Linked DNA regions of Canis lupus familiaris. The protein of the gene in region 3 purifies or fractionates together with the protein of the main gene of each other region. This does not show direct contact. Links are inferred from orthologs where the notes say so. Each region holds a gene or a part of one and is shown on either strand. Other genes may lie near its edges.

Region 1 (6,016 bases), on a different chromosome or scaffold from region 3:
TCCTGCCTAGAAGGTTTTTCCTCTAGTTGCCTGCATGGCTCCTTCCCTTACTTCATCCAGGCCTCCCTTCAAATGTCTCCTTACCAGAGTAGCTTTCCTTGGTGTCCCTGTGTAAAACAACCCCAACCCTGTCACTCCCTGTCTTATTAGCATGCATTTATCATTACTGGACATACTACAGATTATCTGTTTCTCTGTCTTATGTGAGCACCGTCTCCACACTAGAATATAAGGTCCAGAAGGCAGGGCTGTTCTGATCAGTTGTTCCTGCTGTATTGCCAGACCCTGATCGCTGGCTGGCACCTGTGTCCTCGGACTGCCTGACCACTCTGGGGGGAGGCACTCCCTGGTGTGCTCCCTGCCACACAGGCCCTGGTGGCACTCACTCTGCATTTCCTCTCTTCTCATACTTGATTGCTCCTATTCATCTGTCTTTGCTGCTGGTAAGTGAGCTTTGTGGGCCTGAGGCCTGTCTTGTTCATGGTTCTATTTCCAGGGCCTGCCAGCAGGAGCATTGTGCTGTAGCCCTGTAGCCCCTACTCAGTAAATAGTCCTTACTTGAAAACACAAATGACCCCACGTGCCTGCTGTCTTTGTGTGGCTGAGCTCATCCGTGAAGGACCCCTCCCCAGCACTCGAGGGGATCCTAGGGGCACAGGGTGGACAAGAGACCTATGGCTGCATCGCAGGGGGGGATGAGGTGGTGGCCAGGGTCCCTGGGGCCAGGGGCTGGGGGTACCTGGCGGGCCAGGGGCTCGGTGAGTTTCTCCCCATAGGGGCTGAGCGGGCACGCTGTGTAGTGTTGCAGCAGGTCCTGCAGCCTCACGTGAGCGCTGTCCTCGCCTAGCACCACGTGGCGCCCATCCCCAAGCTGGGCCAGCAGGAAGTGGCGGCAGCGAGTCCGGCTCCTGGAGGGCACCCATGGGATCAGAGCCACCTCAGGCCTGGCTAGCCACCCAGGCCAGGGTCTCTCTCCTTCCCAGCTGGCCCCTGCCCTTTCTGCATCAGGAGCACCCAGCCCACCCCGCTGGGGTGGCCAGGGCACTGCCCCTGCTCTTGCCCCCTCACCTGTAGGTCAGCACAAAGGTCACAGCGCTCTCACTGAACCGTACCAAGTAGCATCCCTCAGGCTTGGTCTCCAGCAGCCTCTCAGCCTCCCTGTGGGTGGTGGAGAAGACTTCTCCAGCCTCCTGCCTGTCCTGGACTCTCAAGGCAGACCCCAACCCCCAGCCAAGCAGACTCAGGTGACGTAGAAGGGTGAAGAAGATAGCAGAGAGAAGTGGGGTCTGCTCCCAGGTGCAGGGCCTGGAGAACACAGGGGCCAGAGGTCCCACCCAGGAGAGGTTTCATCCCTGCCTCATCCTGGAGGACACCCTGGGGTGACAAGAGGCTTGTAGATTTCCAAGGTCATGGGCTGAACTGGAGCAGAGGAGGCAAAGCTGAGGGATGCAGGAGGAAGGGCCTACCAGAGAGACAAGGAAGAGCAGAGGCTGGTGAGGCAGAAAGGTCAGGAGATCTGGGGGTCGGGGCGGGGCTGGGGGGGACCATGAGGTCTGGAGGGCCAGAGACAGGAGCCGAAGCTGAAATCCAGAGCGGGGGGAGGGGGTGCCTGTAGCCTCCCTGGTGACCTCCTCCAGGACAGATGCCTCAGACACTGGCCTGGGAGCCTCCAGGACTCATGGTTGGACTCGCAGCCTCCACACTCTGCTGGGCCTGGGCCCCAGGACTTGCCCTGCCCCTCTCTGGGCCTGTTTCCGCCACCTCTGTGACTCACCTCCGGGTGATGAAGCCGTGGAACCAGGCTGGGGCTGCCCCGTGCTGCAGGAGCCAGTGGGCCTGGGTCTTCTGGAACCAAGCCCGGGTCTCGGCCTGCAGGGACTGGCCTCCTTCCCCAAACACCTCATCAGCCTTCTCGGCATCCTCTGGGCTAGAGGCAGCCTCTTGGGGTTGAGGAGATGCCTGAAACAGGGGGAAGGTTCAAGGAGGGGGGGTTAGCCATGATGTATGGGCTTCCTCCTGACCGTCAGCCAGCTGTGCCTCTGCAGCCTCACCGCTGCTCCCCATCCCAGTTGCCCATTCTAGGCTATAACTACCCAGGAGGTGCCTTTCAGGGTCCAGCTTAAAACCCCTTCTTCAGCTGCACTTGCTTTTTTTTCCAGGGAATTTCTGCCCACTTCCCTCTGGGCCTGCAGGCCTTTTACCCAGTAGCAGTTAGCTCTTAACCTGAGTGTGAGGCTTCTGGAAGGACAGGCAGTCATTCCCTGGCCTGCAGGATCAGGGAGATGATGCTACAACCTCTCACCCCAGAGGACAGAACGAGGGAGGACTCAGCCTCCTGTGGGAGGGGCTGAGCTGGATCATAGGGAGGACTTTCTAATGGCCCCATGGGTGAGAGGGACGGAGGCCCAGACGCACTGGGCAGGTGAAAGTCAGGGACAGAGATGCAGAGGTCTGCTTCTGGGACTTGGTACCCTGTACCCTGGTTACCCTCAGACTCAGCCTGTGCATCCCAGGGATGGTAAGGGGACAATGCAATGAATGAAGGAGGTACTCCCCATCTCCCCTCCTACCCCCCCATCTCCCCTCCCTCTCCCTTCTCTCCATCTCCTCTCCCTCCTCCTCATCTCTCCTCCCTATCTCCCTCCCTCCTCCCCATCTTCTCTCTCCCTCCCTCCCTCCCTCCCTCTCTCCTTCCCTTCCTCCCTTCTTCCCTCCCTCCCCATCTCCCTTCCCTCCCTCCTTCCTTCCATGCCCTAGCCCTATAGGCAGCCCCAGATCATTCCTGCTTTTCCCCTATTGGCCTTTATCTACCCTCAAGTCCTCACCGATGGGAGGAGGGGAGCCAAGGAGGAAGTGGTGCCAGCCGGGTTCCCCCTTACCGCAGTGTGGACAGCTGGGACCCTGGGGCTGGGCTGGGCCTCCTCAGCCTTCAGGGCCTGGATCCTGGGCCCCTGGAGCAAGCCCAGGTCCTGGCAGCTCCTGCGGGGCAGCTCCAGGGGCTGGAAGGTGCTGAAGGTAGGGGCAGGGGCTTTGCCACTTCCTGTTAGCACAAAGAGGTCCGGGTAGGGGGATGGGGAAGAGGGGGGATGTCTGGGTGAGAGGCTACCTCTCCCCCGGGCTCCCAGGAGCTCTGTGTGCCTCTGATGAGAGGACAGGGACAGTGCCAACTGGGGGTCTCTCAAGGGGGAGGAGTAAGGAGTCCAGGAGGCACGAGCTGGCAGGGAGATGGGCATGGGGAAGCAGAGAGCCCCACAGCGCAGGTGTGGGGTGCGGGGCACAGCGAGGGGGTAGGGTGGTGTGTCTCTTCAGGGCAGACCTCTGCTCTTTATGTTCCAGATCCTCTGCTCATCGCCCTCCCTCTGCTAAGGAGCGCTCAGCAGACCCTGCCACCTATGTCCCCAGGGCTGAGCCGACTGGCGCCAGGAGAAGTAGTTGTAGGCTCCCTGCCCATCTGCCCAGCCAGTTCTGGCTTGGGGTGGGCCCTTCACCCCTGAAGTGGGAACTCAGGCCTGGAGACAGCAGGGGATCTGAGGGTCTGGATGTCCTTCCACCCGCCATCCAGGCTTCGCACTTACCTTGGGGACAGATCTGGGCCAGGGGGAGCTCCATGGAGCCAGGCTAGGAACTGAGCCCCTGGAGCAGGGTGTGTGTATGTGCTCTCAAAAGATGTGCACACTCAGCAACTCATCTCTCTCACCCCAGCCCCCGAGGGCAGGAAATGTCGCCTTACCCACAGCCCTAACCCTGGCAGAGGACCCACGTCATGGAAAGCCGTAAGACACTCGTCCCTCCTCCGGAAGCCAGGCCCCTGAAGGTGATGATGGTGTGATGCTGTGGTGGTGGGTAGTTGTGTCATTCTGCCCTTGGCTGTTGGGTATTGGGAGGTCCTTCCTGCTGTCTGACCTCCATCCCTCCTGTTTCTCCCTCTACTCCCTCGCTCCAATCTGGGACCACCTTTCCTCTCCCTGCCTCCCTCTCTGTCTCCCCCTCAGCTTGTTCTGAGCAGCAGCAATGGGGATGTCAACTTCAAAAGGATATTTGGGGTCCTGGGAGATTCCTACTCAGGATTGTGCTTTTAGGACATATGAGGAGTGACGCGGGCAGGGCTGCAACAGGAAGAATGTGGGGAAGACTTCTGGAAGGACTTTCTGAGGTCATACGAAATCTTTGAGATGAAGTGGGTGGGAAGGAAGGGGGGCTGGCTTCACCTTCCAGCAGATAATAGGACTGGGTTAGGGCAAAATCCGGCAATCCTGGGGGGTGGAGGGACAATCTGGAGGAAGGAGGGGAATCCAGAGGATGGAGGTCATGATCCGAAGCAACATTGTGAGCAGTTATTATAACATCAATGCTGACATCTTAAACTCTCCCTGTGCCTATATTTGCTGCCACACCAGAGACCAATCCCATTGCTCGCTCATTTGATCCTCACAAATATATGGGCAGGGAACATTACCCCCATTTCCAGAGGAATAAACTGAAGCTCAGGAAAGTTAAGTGCTATGGCCAGTTGTTTCAGTGTCTCAGAAGTTGGGATTAGAAACTAGACCTTCCTTTACTAACTTCACCATGATTTAAGCCAACAGTCCAGGACTAGGTGCCAGGCACTGTTGTTGGTCCAAGAACACAGAGAGAAAAAGGATCTTGCTTCAAGATGTTAGGTGGGGGAGCCAGGCCTGCCAACAGACACTTCCCATGAGGACACAGTGGTGTGAGTGGAAGAAGGTGGGCAAAGGTGTTTCTAGAAGAGGGACCAGCATTACAAACACCCATAAGAAGGAATGAGCATGCATACGTGCGTGTGGGCAGCCTTAGGGGACTGAGTGGCTGGGGCAGGGGCTGGCTTAGGGTCTGCAGCTGGATTATCTGCTGCTCTCTGCCCAGGAAGGAGTCTGGACACCCAGCTTACAGCCCGAAGTTACTTCCCCATCAGCTCCAGGCAGGGGAGCGCTTTCCCCACCGTCAATGCCCTACACGGCTGCCCACACCGCAGGACCTTACCTCCCCCCAGCTGCCTGCTGTCTCTTCCTGAAACATGTGGCCTTTCCCTGGTCCAGCCCCCCGGGGTTGGTGATGAGTCTGGTGCTCTCAACATGTTCCCCAAGCCCTTCACTGTATTGTAATGAGCCGGGGGTGGGACTGTGCCCTCCATGGCCCCATCAGACGCCAGGGTTCTGCTCTGTGCTCAGCTGTGCGGCTGGGAGTCCACTCAGCACAGCCCAATTCTGGAAACCCTGCCCGCCACTTTGGTGCACTTTGTGATGATTGCAACAGAAGCATTTTTCACCTTCCAAATGGAATCACTCCCACGCTCTTTGTCTGGAGGCCTGGGCGCAGGCCTGCAGCCTGAGCAGGTGCAGGGATGTCAGACACAGGTACAGCTGACCATTCACCGCAGCTCTGTCCAAATGCACCCCAGCTCTTGGCTCTTGTATGGGCCTCAACATCTCCTGGGACGGAGGTTGTTGGGAGAGGATTAGTTTCTCTGAGGCTCTGACTGTCTCTCCCCTTTGCCTGTGTCTTGTCCCCCTCTACCCCGGTGGTGGGGTCAAAATAGCAGTCCCTCCATCTCTCCCAGCTTCAGATGCTCCTCTCTGGAGGGGCGGCTGTGGGATTCCACCAGTAAGTGGGCGCTGAGCCAGCAGAGAGTACAACTTAGAGGAGTGGCTCAGGTACTGGTTCTTTGCTCCCAGTTCCTGGCACCATGATGGTCACTGTTAACCACTGTCTCCTCACGGCTAGGGCAAAAGTCCAGACCGCAGGCTCCTGTTCTGGCTGGGCTCGTGGAGGCCGGGGTCTGGGAGCCCCTCTGCCCTGCACACAGCTGGGCAGGGGTCAGGAGGGGCTTAAGAACACACATGCTGGATGGTTTGTGTGGTGCCCCCCATGCCCCCCCAGCACCCTTTCCCTGAGCCCCCACATCTATTAGTCTGAGCTGTCATAATGAAACACCACAGACTGGAGGGCATAAACAACAGAAATTTATTTTCTCACTGTTCTGGAGTCTGGAATTCCA
Region 2 (5,670 bases), on a different chromosome or scaffold from region 3:
TCTAGCGGGCAGTGCCAGGTCCCCAGTAGGACTCCAGATGGGGTGTGAAGTTTTAAGCAGGCGCTAAAAAAATACACCATAGCCCTTTTATGCTGGCCTCCATATCCTGGGCAAACTCCAGGCAACATGCCTGGCTGATGGAAGACACAGTAAGTCCCATCCCCCCTCCCAGCCCAGTACCTCACTGGTGCCTGGGACATACTGGTAACTCCTTGCCCCCTTCCTAGGTGTACAGCGCTGTAGCTGCAGTCCAGAAGGCGGCAGAGGAGTTGGCCTCTGGGCACCTGGCCTCTGCCTTCATTGCCAGCCAGGAAGCGGTGACATCCTCGGAGCGTGCCTTTTTTGATCCCTCGCTCCTCCACCTCCTCTATTTTCCTGATGACCAGAAGTTTGCCATCTATATCCCACTCTTCCTGCCTATGGCTGTGCCCATCCTCCTGTCCTTGGTCAAGATCTTCCTGGAAACCCGCAAGTCCTGGAAAAAGCCTGAGAAAATAGACTGAGCAGGACAGCATTTCAGTGAGAAGCCTTCCTTTCTGGCCAGGATGGAAGGTGTTAGATTGAGAGGCACATAAAGGGGGCCTGCCGTGAAGGACTTGGCTCCTATAACCAAAGTATAGCACTCTAAGCAGGGTTCATTTTCCCTTCCCTTCCCATCTCTCTAGCTCAGATTCTCCCCCAACCTTTGTGCCCCCCCCCCCCCCCCAGAAGATGCATCATTTGGGTCTTATCTGGCTTGAAATTGAAGGCCCTCCCCTGTCTCCCTCCAGGGCAGGGACAGTTTGTTGTGCTTCTGTCCTGTTCCTTGCAGTCCTCTTGCACTCAGAGGGAGCATTAGGGGAAAGCCCTGGGTCAGATTCTAGCCCCTTCCCCTCCATGCTTCTCTCCAACCCCTCAGGGAGAACCTTAGCACTGCTCTCACGGAAGGGAGCAGGTCACCCCTGGGACCTTCTCCCTTCCTCCCCTCCCTCCTGGCTGGCTGTGCCTACTGGGTGTAGCCTGATGCTGCGCATGTGGCAGAGTTTCCCTTCACCCTTTTATAGAAGTAGTGTGGTGCAGTGGAGAAGGTTTCAGACTTGGGATCGAGCATGCCTGAATTCAGATGTTTCTGTACCTTCTGCACTTATCATCTGGGGAGCATTGGATAAGCCTCTTAATCTCCCTGAGCCTCAGTTTTTCACTTGTTAAAATAGCACCAATGATATCTCACAAGGTGGTTATGAGGATTAAATGTGATAAACATATGAAAGTGTCTGGCACATGGTAAGCTCTCAATAAACATTGGTTGACTGAATTGAAATGATATGAAGTATGAGCAAACCTTTCATTCTTCATTTGTGTCTAAGTAATGGTTTCCTAGTATCTGACCTGGACTCACAGGTCTACCTTGCTTCCACCTGGCCATGCGCCCTACAAGGAGGCTGTGCCTCTCTGCCCTGTGGGCCCTGTAGTGAAGTGCCTAGGCTGTTGTCCCTCAGCATGTCCAGGGTTTCACAACAAAGCTGTTAGCATATACTGCTTTTTTTCGCAGGAGGTCTGGAAGACAATAGCTTGTACCAGTGTAAGCCCTCAAATACTCATTCATAAACTCAGAAAAAGAATATGTTAAGCACAGGCTGCAGTAGCCACTGTGTTAAATGCTAGGTATTATAGAGAACAAAGACAGGATCTCTACTTTCATGGAACTGATCTTTTGGGGAAAGAGTCAGTGAACAAGTAAAATTAATTTCAGATAATGCATTAGAAGGAAAAAACAGGCTGATCAGACAGTGACTGAGGGGTAGTACTTTAGATTGGGTGTGAGGGGGGCCTTTGAGCAAATGACATTTGAACTGAGACCAGAAGAGGAAGCCATCTGGGGGAAGCACATCCCAGGCAAAGATCCTGAGGCGGGAACTTGCTTGAGGGGCAGACAGAAGGACAGAGTGGCGCGAGTAAGGAAGAGAGGTAGTGATCCCTTCAAGGACCTAGCAGGACCTAGCGGAAAAAATGAATGAAGCCCAAAGCGAGGCCCCACCCGGCCCCGGGGGAGTGGACCCAGGTTGGCGTTCGCAGGGGTGGGCGGGGCCCGTGCCTGGCCCACCCCCGGGGGCGGGGCGGTACCTGGGGCCCTGGCCGGGGGCGGGGCTGCGGACGCTCCCCCTTCTCTCGGCTCCAGCCGGCGCAGGCAGCTGCCGCGGCAGCAAGCGAGCGGTGGCCCCGCGAGGCCATGAAGGTGAAAAAGGGCGGCGGTGGGGCTGGGACGGGGGCGGAGCCCGCTTCTGGGGCCCCTGGCCCGAGCGTGGAGCCCAAGCCCGAGCCGCAGCTGCAGGCGGAATCCGAGTCCGGGTCCGAGTCAGAGCCGGAGGCTGGCCCGGGGCCCAGGCCGGGGCCGCTGCAGAGGAAGCAGCGGATCGGGCCAGAGGACGTGCTGGGGCTGCAGCGGATCACGGGCGGTGAGCACTGGCGAGGCAGCGCCGCCCGCGGCGGGAGGGCGGGAGGGAGAGCGCGCGGGAGGGGGCACTCGCTGTGCGCCGTGCGCTGAGCCTGGGCCCCCGCCCCCTTTCCCGCCCTACCCCCCACTCCCGCCTCCCCTCCCCCACCCGGGTACCCCTCGCTTGAATCCCCTACCCTTCTGCCTTCCAGCCTGAGATCTCCTTGTACCCGCCTTTTCTCCCTTTAGATATTTATTTTCACCCTACTCCTATCTTTCTGAGGAGGCCATCCCCCTTTCCCATGGTGGAGGTGAGGCAGCAGCTGCAACTGTGACCCCTTCCTCATAGAGTCTTCCGAGCCCTTTGAGGCTTTTCTCTGCAATAATGAGGATGGATGCTGAGTGTATTCTGTCCTCAGTCCTCACCCTGGAGGCTAGGAGGAGGCTGAGCTACTTAGGTGACCTTAAGACCCTCCAGTCGCCCTGATCATTAAATGCCGTCACTCCAGATTACCCAGAGAGTCTGGGGCCATCCTCCAACCCCAGGAAAGGACTGGGCAGGAAACCTCAGTGGGTTGGCTCTGGGCCCTCTCAAGGGAGTAGGTTAATGCCCTCCATCCCCCTTAACCTGTCTTCTTCCGGGAGGCCTAGTCTCCCACTGTGGTTAAGTTTCTGAGCTGAACTGCCTGGGTTGAAGTCCCAGCTATGCCATGTAATTGGCAGTGTGACCTTGGGTGAGTAATTTCACCTCTGAGCATGTTCATCTGTAAAATGGGGGATAATGGCACCTATTATATAGGGCTGTTGTGAAAACTAATTTTCCGATTTTGCATAGTGCCTCGCATGCTGTGCATGCTCTGTAAATAGGGCTCTTTTGTCAATAGTACTGAAGGCCCCACAGGACTGCTTATGGCTGCTGCCTGGAGGCAGATAACTGGGCATTCAGGACAAGGGAGGAGGTTGCCAGGCAGAGAACAAGGGCTACGAAGCCTCATGGCAGAGGCAGTGGCTGAGCCTCAAAAACAGGCATTTGGAGAGAGAGTGGTCCTCCAATGTAGTTTCATTTATCAGAATCCTGCACTGGCCCCTCTGTGAGAGCACTGTTGAGACCCCTCTTTGGTGGAAGGGGGCAGGTGCTGGAGCAGACCTGAGCTCTGGAGCTGCAGGAGCAGCAGAGCCCAAGGCTGCCAGACAGCAGTGGAGGGGACTGTAATGGCAGGTCTAGGCCTGTGCATCTGGGTCCCTGGGGGACCAGCTTCTCCTCTCTGAGCCAGGCAGCAGCCATTCTTGGCGGGGCCCCCAGAACACTGAACTGCCTCGCCCAAGCAGACACTAGTAGAGGGAGGGGTCCTGGACCAGTTTGATGGTAGTGCCAATTGAGCTATAACTGGCAATGGCAGCATTTAGAATGAGGGCAGAACTTATAGGATGTTTAGAGGTCAAGCTGACCTGTCTGGGTCTTAGGTAACTTTAGAGACTATTTTGTAACTGTAGGGGCTTCCAGCCCATGTACTGCCATGTGTCTCCTAATTTGGAGGAAATCCGTAGTCCTTAGAGATGGGGCATCTGTGGGAGATGAGTGGGGGAAGGGGCTTCATGGGAACCTTTCCTCTATAGAAGCTGAGACCTGGGTTCCAGGGATCTCCATCCTGGCACCCCCTGGTCTCTTTTGACCCTAATCACACAGGTCTGAGGTTTGTTCTTCCTGGATTACCAGCCCTGAATCCAGCTTAGGAAGCTATTTGTAGCAGAGGGAAGGGGCGGGGGGGGGGGGGGGGCAGTTTTGTTCTGAGCCTTAAGCCACTCTGTCCCTTTATCTGCCCTGACCCCGGGCAGGCTTCATCCTTCCCTTGGCAGAAGGGAGGGTGTGGGTGTGGCATTCTGAGCAATGGGCATCCCACTTCCCTCACTTCTTCTAAGGACAAAAGGGCTGCTTATTCAAGGTGTAGTAGAAGAGACTGAGGGCGGACTCTAAGCACTCATTCCTGCATGACAGGAGAGGCTCCCAAAGCGAGAATGTGGAGAGGGAAGGGCTTTCCAGGGAGCTGGAGTCTGCTCCTTGTGCCCTGCACCTTCTCTCTACATCTTGGGACTAGTGCATACATTCTGTGAAAATAAGGTGTGTACAGGGTGAGGTCAGGGCTGCCCACATGTGTTCCTCTTCCTCTCTCCCCACTGTGGATTGTGGTGGACAGGCCAGAGATCAGGCCCTTCCCCAAGCCCTGCTGGACCTTAGGGTGCCAGGAGGCTCCCGGGAGGGCTTCCTGGAGGGGGCTGCCCCAAGCTTAGGGAAGAGAGAGTGACCTTACATTCACTTCCTCTTCCTGCCCCAGAGGAATAGGAGGTGGCCTAGGGGCCTGGTGGGTGATTTCCGGGCCTCTATGGGGAGGATGTGATGCTGTGCAGGCTGATAGCACCAGACCCAACAGTGTTTCTTTCTGTTTGTTGCCAAGACCTCCCTGAGCACTTGTAGTTGCTGGTGCAGAAGTGAGGGGTGGATCAGGCCCTGATATTCCTAAGCTTCCTCAGCCACAGCTCACCACTGTTCCTGGTTCCTCTTCTGGGCCTGAGGACTCCCTTTCCCCCATGCACACCCCCACGCGCACCTGCCACACCCTCTTCCTGGCTAAACTTGGTACTCTTCTCTATGGGGGTAGCTCAGAGCTAAGGCTGGGTAGATGACCTTCAAGCGGGTTCCCTTGGTTTGCTAAGACTTCCCACTTGGAGATCCAAGGGGATAGGAGCAAAGGTGGCCCCCTTCCTCCAATATTCGAGGCTCTGGGCTTGAGTCAGCAGAGCTTTGGCTAAGCTGCTTAAGGGAGCTGGGCTTATATAAGCTGCTTACGGGGAGACGAGGGGGTTAGGGGTGAGGAGGAACAGGAGTGGGGTTGTTTTCCTACCCTAGCACCACCCAGGTCAGGGAAGTCCTTGCCTGACATTCCTAGATGTAGCACCAGGGGCAGCTATGTGCTGGAGGTGGGGCTGTTCTCCAGGGAAGCACTGTGGATATCTTGAGGTTCTCAAAAGCAGGGCTGTATCTTCCCTCTCGTGCTGGGACTCCTCATTAGATCAGAGCCCAACTGGCTCAAAGTCACCAAGCTCGCCCTGGCAGGGCAGAGGCTGGAATAAGGCCGCGCAACTCCAGGATGGGAGAGAAACCGCTGAGAGGAGGTGATCTCATCTTCCACCTTTCTCACCTTGGCCCTTCCTGACCTCAGAGATCTCTGAGGAGAGAGCTGTTTGCCTCTCATTAGATC
Region 3 (5,841 bases):
AGCAGGAGATGCAGGCTCAGGACCAGCAGCTGGCCGGGCAGCTGCTCCGCCTGCGCGCCCAGCTGCACCAGCTGAAGGTGGACCAAGCCTGTCACCTGCACCAAGAGCTGCTGGACGAGGCTGAGCTGGAGCTGGAGCTGGAGCCTGGGGCCGGCCTTCCCTTGGCCCCGCCGCTGCGGCACCTCGGCCTCACCCGCATGAACATCAGTGCCCGGCGCTTCACCCTCTGCTGAGGGGCACTTGCTTGCTTCCTGGGACCTCTTGGGAAGGGGGAAGGGAGGGGTGCCTCAAAGGTGCCAACACCTGGCAAGGGGTGGTGGGAGGGTTGCTAGGGGCGGGGCTCCCTCAGTTCTCTGGGAGCATAAAGCCCCAGCATCCTGTTACCCTTGCTGCCCTAGATTGGGGAAGAGAGGTTGGAGGAAGGGGAGAAACTCACAGACCTCCAAGCTCTTCAATAAAGGCCCTCTCTGTTTCCCAACAAGGTCTCTGCAGTCATTTATTCAGGCCCAAGGTCACTGTGCGTCATCTGTAGCTAGGGCCAGGACTTCAACTGTGGGAAAGAAGGCCTGGGTTGGGGGTAGAGATGAACAGATGGATCCCCATATCTCTCCCAGCTCCAGCTCTGTCTCTCTATCTTATCAAGCTCAGAACTGGGCAAGAGCTTGAAATCCTGAATCACCCCTATGGAAGGTGACAGGTCAATGGGCAGCTGAAGAATGTAGGACCTAGTAGACCTGGGTTCAAAGCCAGCTCCACCTTGCATTTCTTTTCTTTTCGCTTTTTTTTTTTTAATTTATTTATTTGAGAGAGAGATAGAACAAGTAGAGTGGGGTGGAGGGAGAGGGAGAAGCAGACTCCCTCTGAACAGGGAGCTGGAGGTGGGGCTCATCCCAGGATCCTGAGATCATGACCTGCGCTGAAGGCAGACGCCCACCGGTTCACTGAGCCACCCAGGCGCCCCTCCACCATGCATTTCTAGCAGACCTTGAGGATGTCCCTAAGCTGGCAGCTGTTTCTTTACCTCTAAACTGGAAATGCTATTTCTTACTCCACAAGTAGTTGGGGATGTCTGAAGTGAGACAACACTTAAACACTCAAAAAACATGAACTCTCTCTTGCTGATCCTTGCTTCCGCCAGTGGTATGAATGCTGTTGTGCTGAAGGCCAGAGGGGCCTGTGCAGGGCTCTGGGTCACCATAGGTTTTTTTTACAACATATCTCCTCAGCCTTTGTTTCTGTGTTACCCTCTTTGTCTGACTTTCCAGCTCAGGCTTCCTCTTCCCCCCACCCATTTCCTGTCTCCCCCTTCCCTCTGCAGCTGAGGTGCACACAGCATCAGCTTCCACCTCACAAACCCCAACAATGCTCTGTGGGCTCCCCTCCCCCAAACTGCTCGCTAAGTGTGGGCTCCAGCAGTGGTGACTGTGACACATTTATACTTTCCTATGGGTGGGGCCAAGGCCCAGCTCTTGTGCCTCATAGAGACCGTCCAGAGTTCCTCATAACACTGATAACCTGGCACTTAACCTATGATGGGTGCCACCCTCAGCTTGGCCCAGGGGGAAGGGAGATTCTCAGCCTGCTTGCTGCTCCTGACAAGGCTTCTCTGTCCTGCCTCTAACAGAAAAGACCTGCCAGTCAGCGGCTGGCACCTGGGTGCCTGGGCAGGAGTGTTTGTCTGCCTTCCACCTGTTGCAGGAGATGGTGGCAGGCCCTACATGTCTAACAGGGGCTGTGACCTTGCCTCTTCCTGAATTAGAAGTGTCGCCCTGATGAGTGGGTGTTAGCCTGTCCTCTGCCCCCAGCAGGAGCTGTTAATCTGTCATTCTAAAGACACAAGGTGGTCTAGCCTGCTTGCTTAAACAGCTTGCTGTCCAGCCTTCTGTCTGTAAGAAGCTTACCCTCTGACTCTAGTAAAGTTGTTGTCCCTTGCCCTGAGATGGCATGACAGTTGCTAGGCAGCCGTACTAGCCTGACATCTGACTGTAGCATAGGATGTTTGGCTCCCCAACTATTTAACAGGGCTAGTGTTCTCTCCTCTGACTTGGAAATGGGGTCACCTTTGCCATCTCTAGACTGCAATGAAACGTTCACTCAGCTCTCAGACTGTGACAGCTGTGCCACTCGCCTTTCACTGAAAGCTAAGTGTGTGTCTGCTCACCCTTTGCTCACTGGGGTATAAAGGCTGCCCTTGACTCTCTTGTCCAGGTGCTCCCTGGGGGGCAGGAGGGAGGTTCCATCAAGTGTCCTCTCTTCAGCTCCAAGTGCCACCCTCAGGAGGGCCTGGAGATGGTTAGGACCCCCAGGGGCTGAGGAGTGGGGGGCTCTAACAGCAGGAAGCTTGGGGTGCCGGAGGCTTGTGGTTGGGCTGCTGGGGCCCGGTTGGCTGCGGAGCCCTCAGAAGGAGGCAGGAAGTCAGGGTGGGACGTGGGCGCGCTAAGACAGACGGTGGCCACCTTAGCAAGGGGAGCCAAAACCGTGTGTAAGCAGCCAGGCCAAGCCAGGAGGACCATGTGAATGGGACCAGAGGGCTCCCGGGCCGGGCAGGTAAGGAACACTGGGAACAGGGGTCTCAGGGCTGTGCTGGGAGCCTGACAGTGGGGGCTACACCTGGGCATGGGCATGGGGCTGGGCTCCCTGGGCATCCAGCAGCCCTACAGGCTGGGGAATAGAAAAATCTTGCTAGAGGTCAGGTGGGCCTCATACAGTTCAGCTGGATCACCTCTTGCCCCTGCCACACCGTCAGTCACTGGTCCCTACCTCACTGGGAGCATTTTCTTAGAGATCTGGCACATGGACTGTCAGGTATTTTAAAAAGGCCTCAGAAATCCCTGAGTTCAAGGGCACCTGGGTGGCTCAGTTGGTTAAGTGTCTGCCTTCAGCTCAGGTCATCATCTCAGGGTCCTGGGATCGAACCCCACATTGGGCTCCTCTGTCAGCAAGGAGTCTGCTTCCCCCTCTCCCTCTGCCCCTAACCCCACTCATGCTCACTCACTCTCGCTCTCAAATAAATAAATAAATAAATAAATAAATAAATAAATAAAATATTGAAGAAGAAAGAAAGAAAGAAAGAAGAAAGAAAGAAAGAAAGAAAGAAAGAAAGAAAGAAAGAAAGAAAGAAAGAAAGAAAGAAAGATCCCTAAGTTCAGCCCCTGATCCGATGATGGGTGAACATCTTGAGGCCCAGAGAAGGCAAGACCTCCCTCCCCACAGTACTCAGCAAGGCAGTGGCAGGGTCAGTCTCTGGGAGAGGGTGGTGGCCTAGGCTAGTACTACCCCCCACCCATGGGGCAGGGTGATAGGCTTGAGTCAGGGGACCCAGGAATCCTGTTGATTGCTGGGGCAGACCCCAGGGACAGGAATCGTCTGAGAGAGACAGAGTGAGATTGAGAGAGAGAGAGAGAGGAATCCCTCGGAACATCCGGATGGACACGTGAGAAGTGATTTTAGCCTCAGTGACCAGCAGCGCTGGAGAGGCAGAGGTGTCTTCTTCGGAAGCTGCTGGATACGTGAGGGTATGTTTATCATCTGGGATGGGCCTCCAGGGCGGAAGTGTCTGACTGGAGGTCAGGGAGTCGAAGGACAGAGAATGGGAAGGGAAGAGCAGAGGAAGGGCTATTTTTATCCGAGACTGGGGTGCAGTTGGCCCTGGGCAGAGAACGTCTGCATTTCCATCTGGAAAGTTGCCATTCCTGCCCCTGCTGAGTGTCATGGGATGCCCACCCCCTTCCTCTGGTTTCACCCCTACCCCCCACTGCATGTGTAGGACCAGTTGGTCCTACTGATTGCTGCTTCAAACCCCTGGGAAGTGGAGGCCCAGGAAGGCATAGTCAGCTACCTGCCCACCCCCTCACTTTCTTCTGAACCTTCAGTTTATGGGGGGCATCCCCATGTGAGCCAGACTTTCCAGGTTTCCCTCACCCTACCCTCCACCATTGGAATTTTTTTGACACATAGTTTCCACCTAGTCAGCAGCGTATCCCAGCCTTTCTCTTGTCCCCAAGTCCAAGGCTGGTAGCCTTTTGTGGGAACCCTCCCTGTGCTTCAGAGGGGCTCATCTACACCCTGGACTTGCACCTCTCTCATCCAGCATGTGCTGATAGATTACTCAGGGTCCCTTGCCTTCATGGCTCAGGGACAGAGGTTCTCCTCAAAGGGTTAAGGACCAAGTGATGGGCAAGAGAAAAAGGTGAGGTTCTCAGAGAACAGCCTTCCCTCAGGTGATCTGGAAGGCTCCCTGGAAGTCAACACAGTTCTGAGAAGGACAAAGGCCCATTTTGGAAAGAGGTTATGACATAGCCAAGGGCACTGTCCTTGGTTTCTGTTTCTTGAGAAGCAAGAGAATAGAGCAAGACCAAACACCAGACAGTTAATGGACATGGTATAGTGCAAAGAACATGGGTTTCAGGGTTAGGCCAACCCAGATACAGTTTTGGTCCTGGCATTTCCCTGAACAATATTGACTTCATCCTCCAGACTCCCAACTCCAGATCACTAATCTGTGAAGAGGCAATAATAAATCTCTCCCTTACAGAATGCTTGTGGGGACCTGTGACATGCCCTGGGTTGTACCTGACACATTGTAGGTACTTAACAGAGGTTAGGTAGTCCCTCCCCTGTAAATAGTGCACCAAAGGGAAGACTGTTCACACCCAGAATTACACCTATTCAGCACCTTGGCTGGCCAGTGCACCACCATTCCCTCACACTTGTGGTGTGGCTTTGCAAATAAGCTTGTTTCCTGTGTTTAGTAGGAGTGAGAACTCTAAGCTGAGCCACAGAGTCTGCTCAGCGTTAGATGAGAGTTCCCCACACACAACTTCACACTCACCCTATCCCAAACACGAGACATATCACCAGAAAATATATGTGTGCACGAATGGGCAGAGGCAGAAGCAGGTTCTATACACACAACATACACTGGATCTTAACAAATCTATACACACCCCCACAGGTCGGTGACTTCAAGGCCAAGCTCAGTTCAGTGAAAGCAATGCTGAGGGGAGCTGGGGGTGGGGGTGGGATGGGGGCCGGGAGGACCAACATACCATCCAGAGAGGTGGCCTCCAATAACAAACTTTGGTGTTGGCTTTAATGTAGCTGGCGCTGCATTTCCAACGCTTGCTCTTTTTTTCTTTTTTTTTTTTTTTTTTTTTTTTTTTTTTAATAAAGATTTTATTTATTTATTCATGAGAGAGAGAGAGAGAGGCAGAGACACAGGCAGAGGGAGAAGCAGGCTCCATGCACTGGGAGCCCGATGTGGGATTCGATCCAGGGTCTCCAGGATCGCGCCCCGGGCCAAAGGCAGGCGCCAAACCGCTGCGCCACCCAGGGATCCCTCTTTTTTTCTTTTTTTAAGATTTTATTAATTTATTTGAGAGAGAACGAACAGCGAGGAGGGGCAGAGAGAGAGGGAGAGAGAGAGAGAGAAGTAGACTCCCCGCTGAGCAGTAAGCCTGGATCCGGGGCTTGATCCCAGGACTAGAGATCATGACCTGAGCCAAAGGCAGATGCCCAACCGACTGAGCCACCCAGGTGCCCTTCCAATGCTTGTTCTGAAGAATACCAGTTCCATGAGGCACCTGGAAAGAGAATCATTCTGGGGCCAAATCAACATGGCCTCAGCTACAGACTGGCCCATATTAACTTCTCAGTCCAAGTCAGCTTGTTAGCACTCTGAGAGTTCCCCCAGAGAAGGGGCCTGATCCATTCTGTCTAACTTAGCGTTTCCCAAACTACTTTGGACACAGAACCCTTTTTTCCTGGATGACCCATTCCACGCCTACCTTTGAGACAAGGAGAAGAATGGAAGGGTAGGCTATGCAGTGAATCTCCTCAAAT

The links.
Region 1: the proteins of LCK (region 3) and SH2D2A purify together in Homo sapiens (co-immunoprecipitation; 3 studies listed by IntAct, with this or other methods). This does not show direct contact. The link is inferred for Canis lupus familiaris from reciprocal best matches to the Homo sapiens genes LCK and SH2D2A.
Region 2: the proteins of LCK (region 3) and UNC119 purify together in Homo sapiens (affinity purification with western blotting; 3 studies listed by BioGRID and IntAct, with this or other methods). This does not show direct contact. The link is inferred for Canis lupus familiaris from reciprocal best matches to the Homo sapiens genes LCK and UNC119.

What each region holds. Positions count from the first base shown.
Region 1 is NC_049228.1:41,165,458-41,171,473, reverse strand, and holds the start of SH2D2A (SH2 domain-containing protein 2A), read right to left. Parts: upstream 3,726-6,016; 5' UTR 3,610-3,725; coding exon 3,576-3,609; intron 3,041-3,575; coding exon 2,826-3,040; intron 1,960-2,825; coding exon 1,775-1,959; intron 1,159-1,774; coding exon 1,069-1,158; intron 909-1,068; coding exon 740-908; intron 1-739. UniProt on the Homo sapiens protein: Could be a T-cell-specific adapter protein involved in the control of T-cell activation. May play a role in the CD4-p56-LCK-dependent signal transduction pathway. Could also play an important role in normal and pathological angiogenesis.
Region 2 is NC_049230.1:42,728,733-42,734,402, reverse strand, and holds the start of UNC119 (protein unc-119 homolog A), read left to right. Parts: upstream 1-2,133; 5' UTR 2,134-2,209; coding exon 2,210-2,435; intron 2,436-5,670. Other genes in the region: PIGS (GPI transamidase component PIG-S), read left to right, coding at 228-503. UniProt on the Homo sapiens protein: Involved in synaptic functions in photoreceptor cells, the signal transduction in immune cells as a Src family kinase activator, endosome recycling, the uptake of bacteria and endocytosis, protein trafficking in sensory neurons and as lipid-binding chaperone with specificity for a diverse subset of myristoylated proteins.
Region 3 is NC_049223.1:68,359,548-68,365,388, reverse strand, and holds the start of LCK (tyrosine-protein kinase Lck), read left to right. Parts: upstream 1-2,389; 5' UTR 2,390-2,547; intron 2,548-5,841. Other genes in the region: protein FAM167B, read left to right, coding at 3-233. UniProt on the Homo sapiens protein: Non-receptor tyrosine-protein kinase that plays an essential role in the selection and maturation of developing T-cells in the thymus and in the function of mature T-cells. Plays a key role in T-cell antigen receptor (TCR)-linked signal transduction pathways.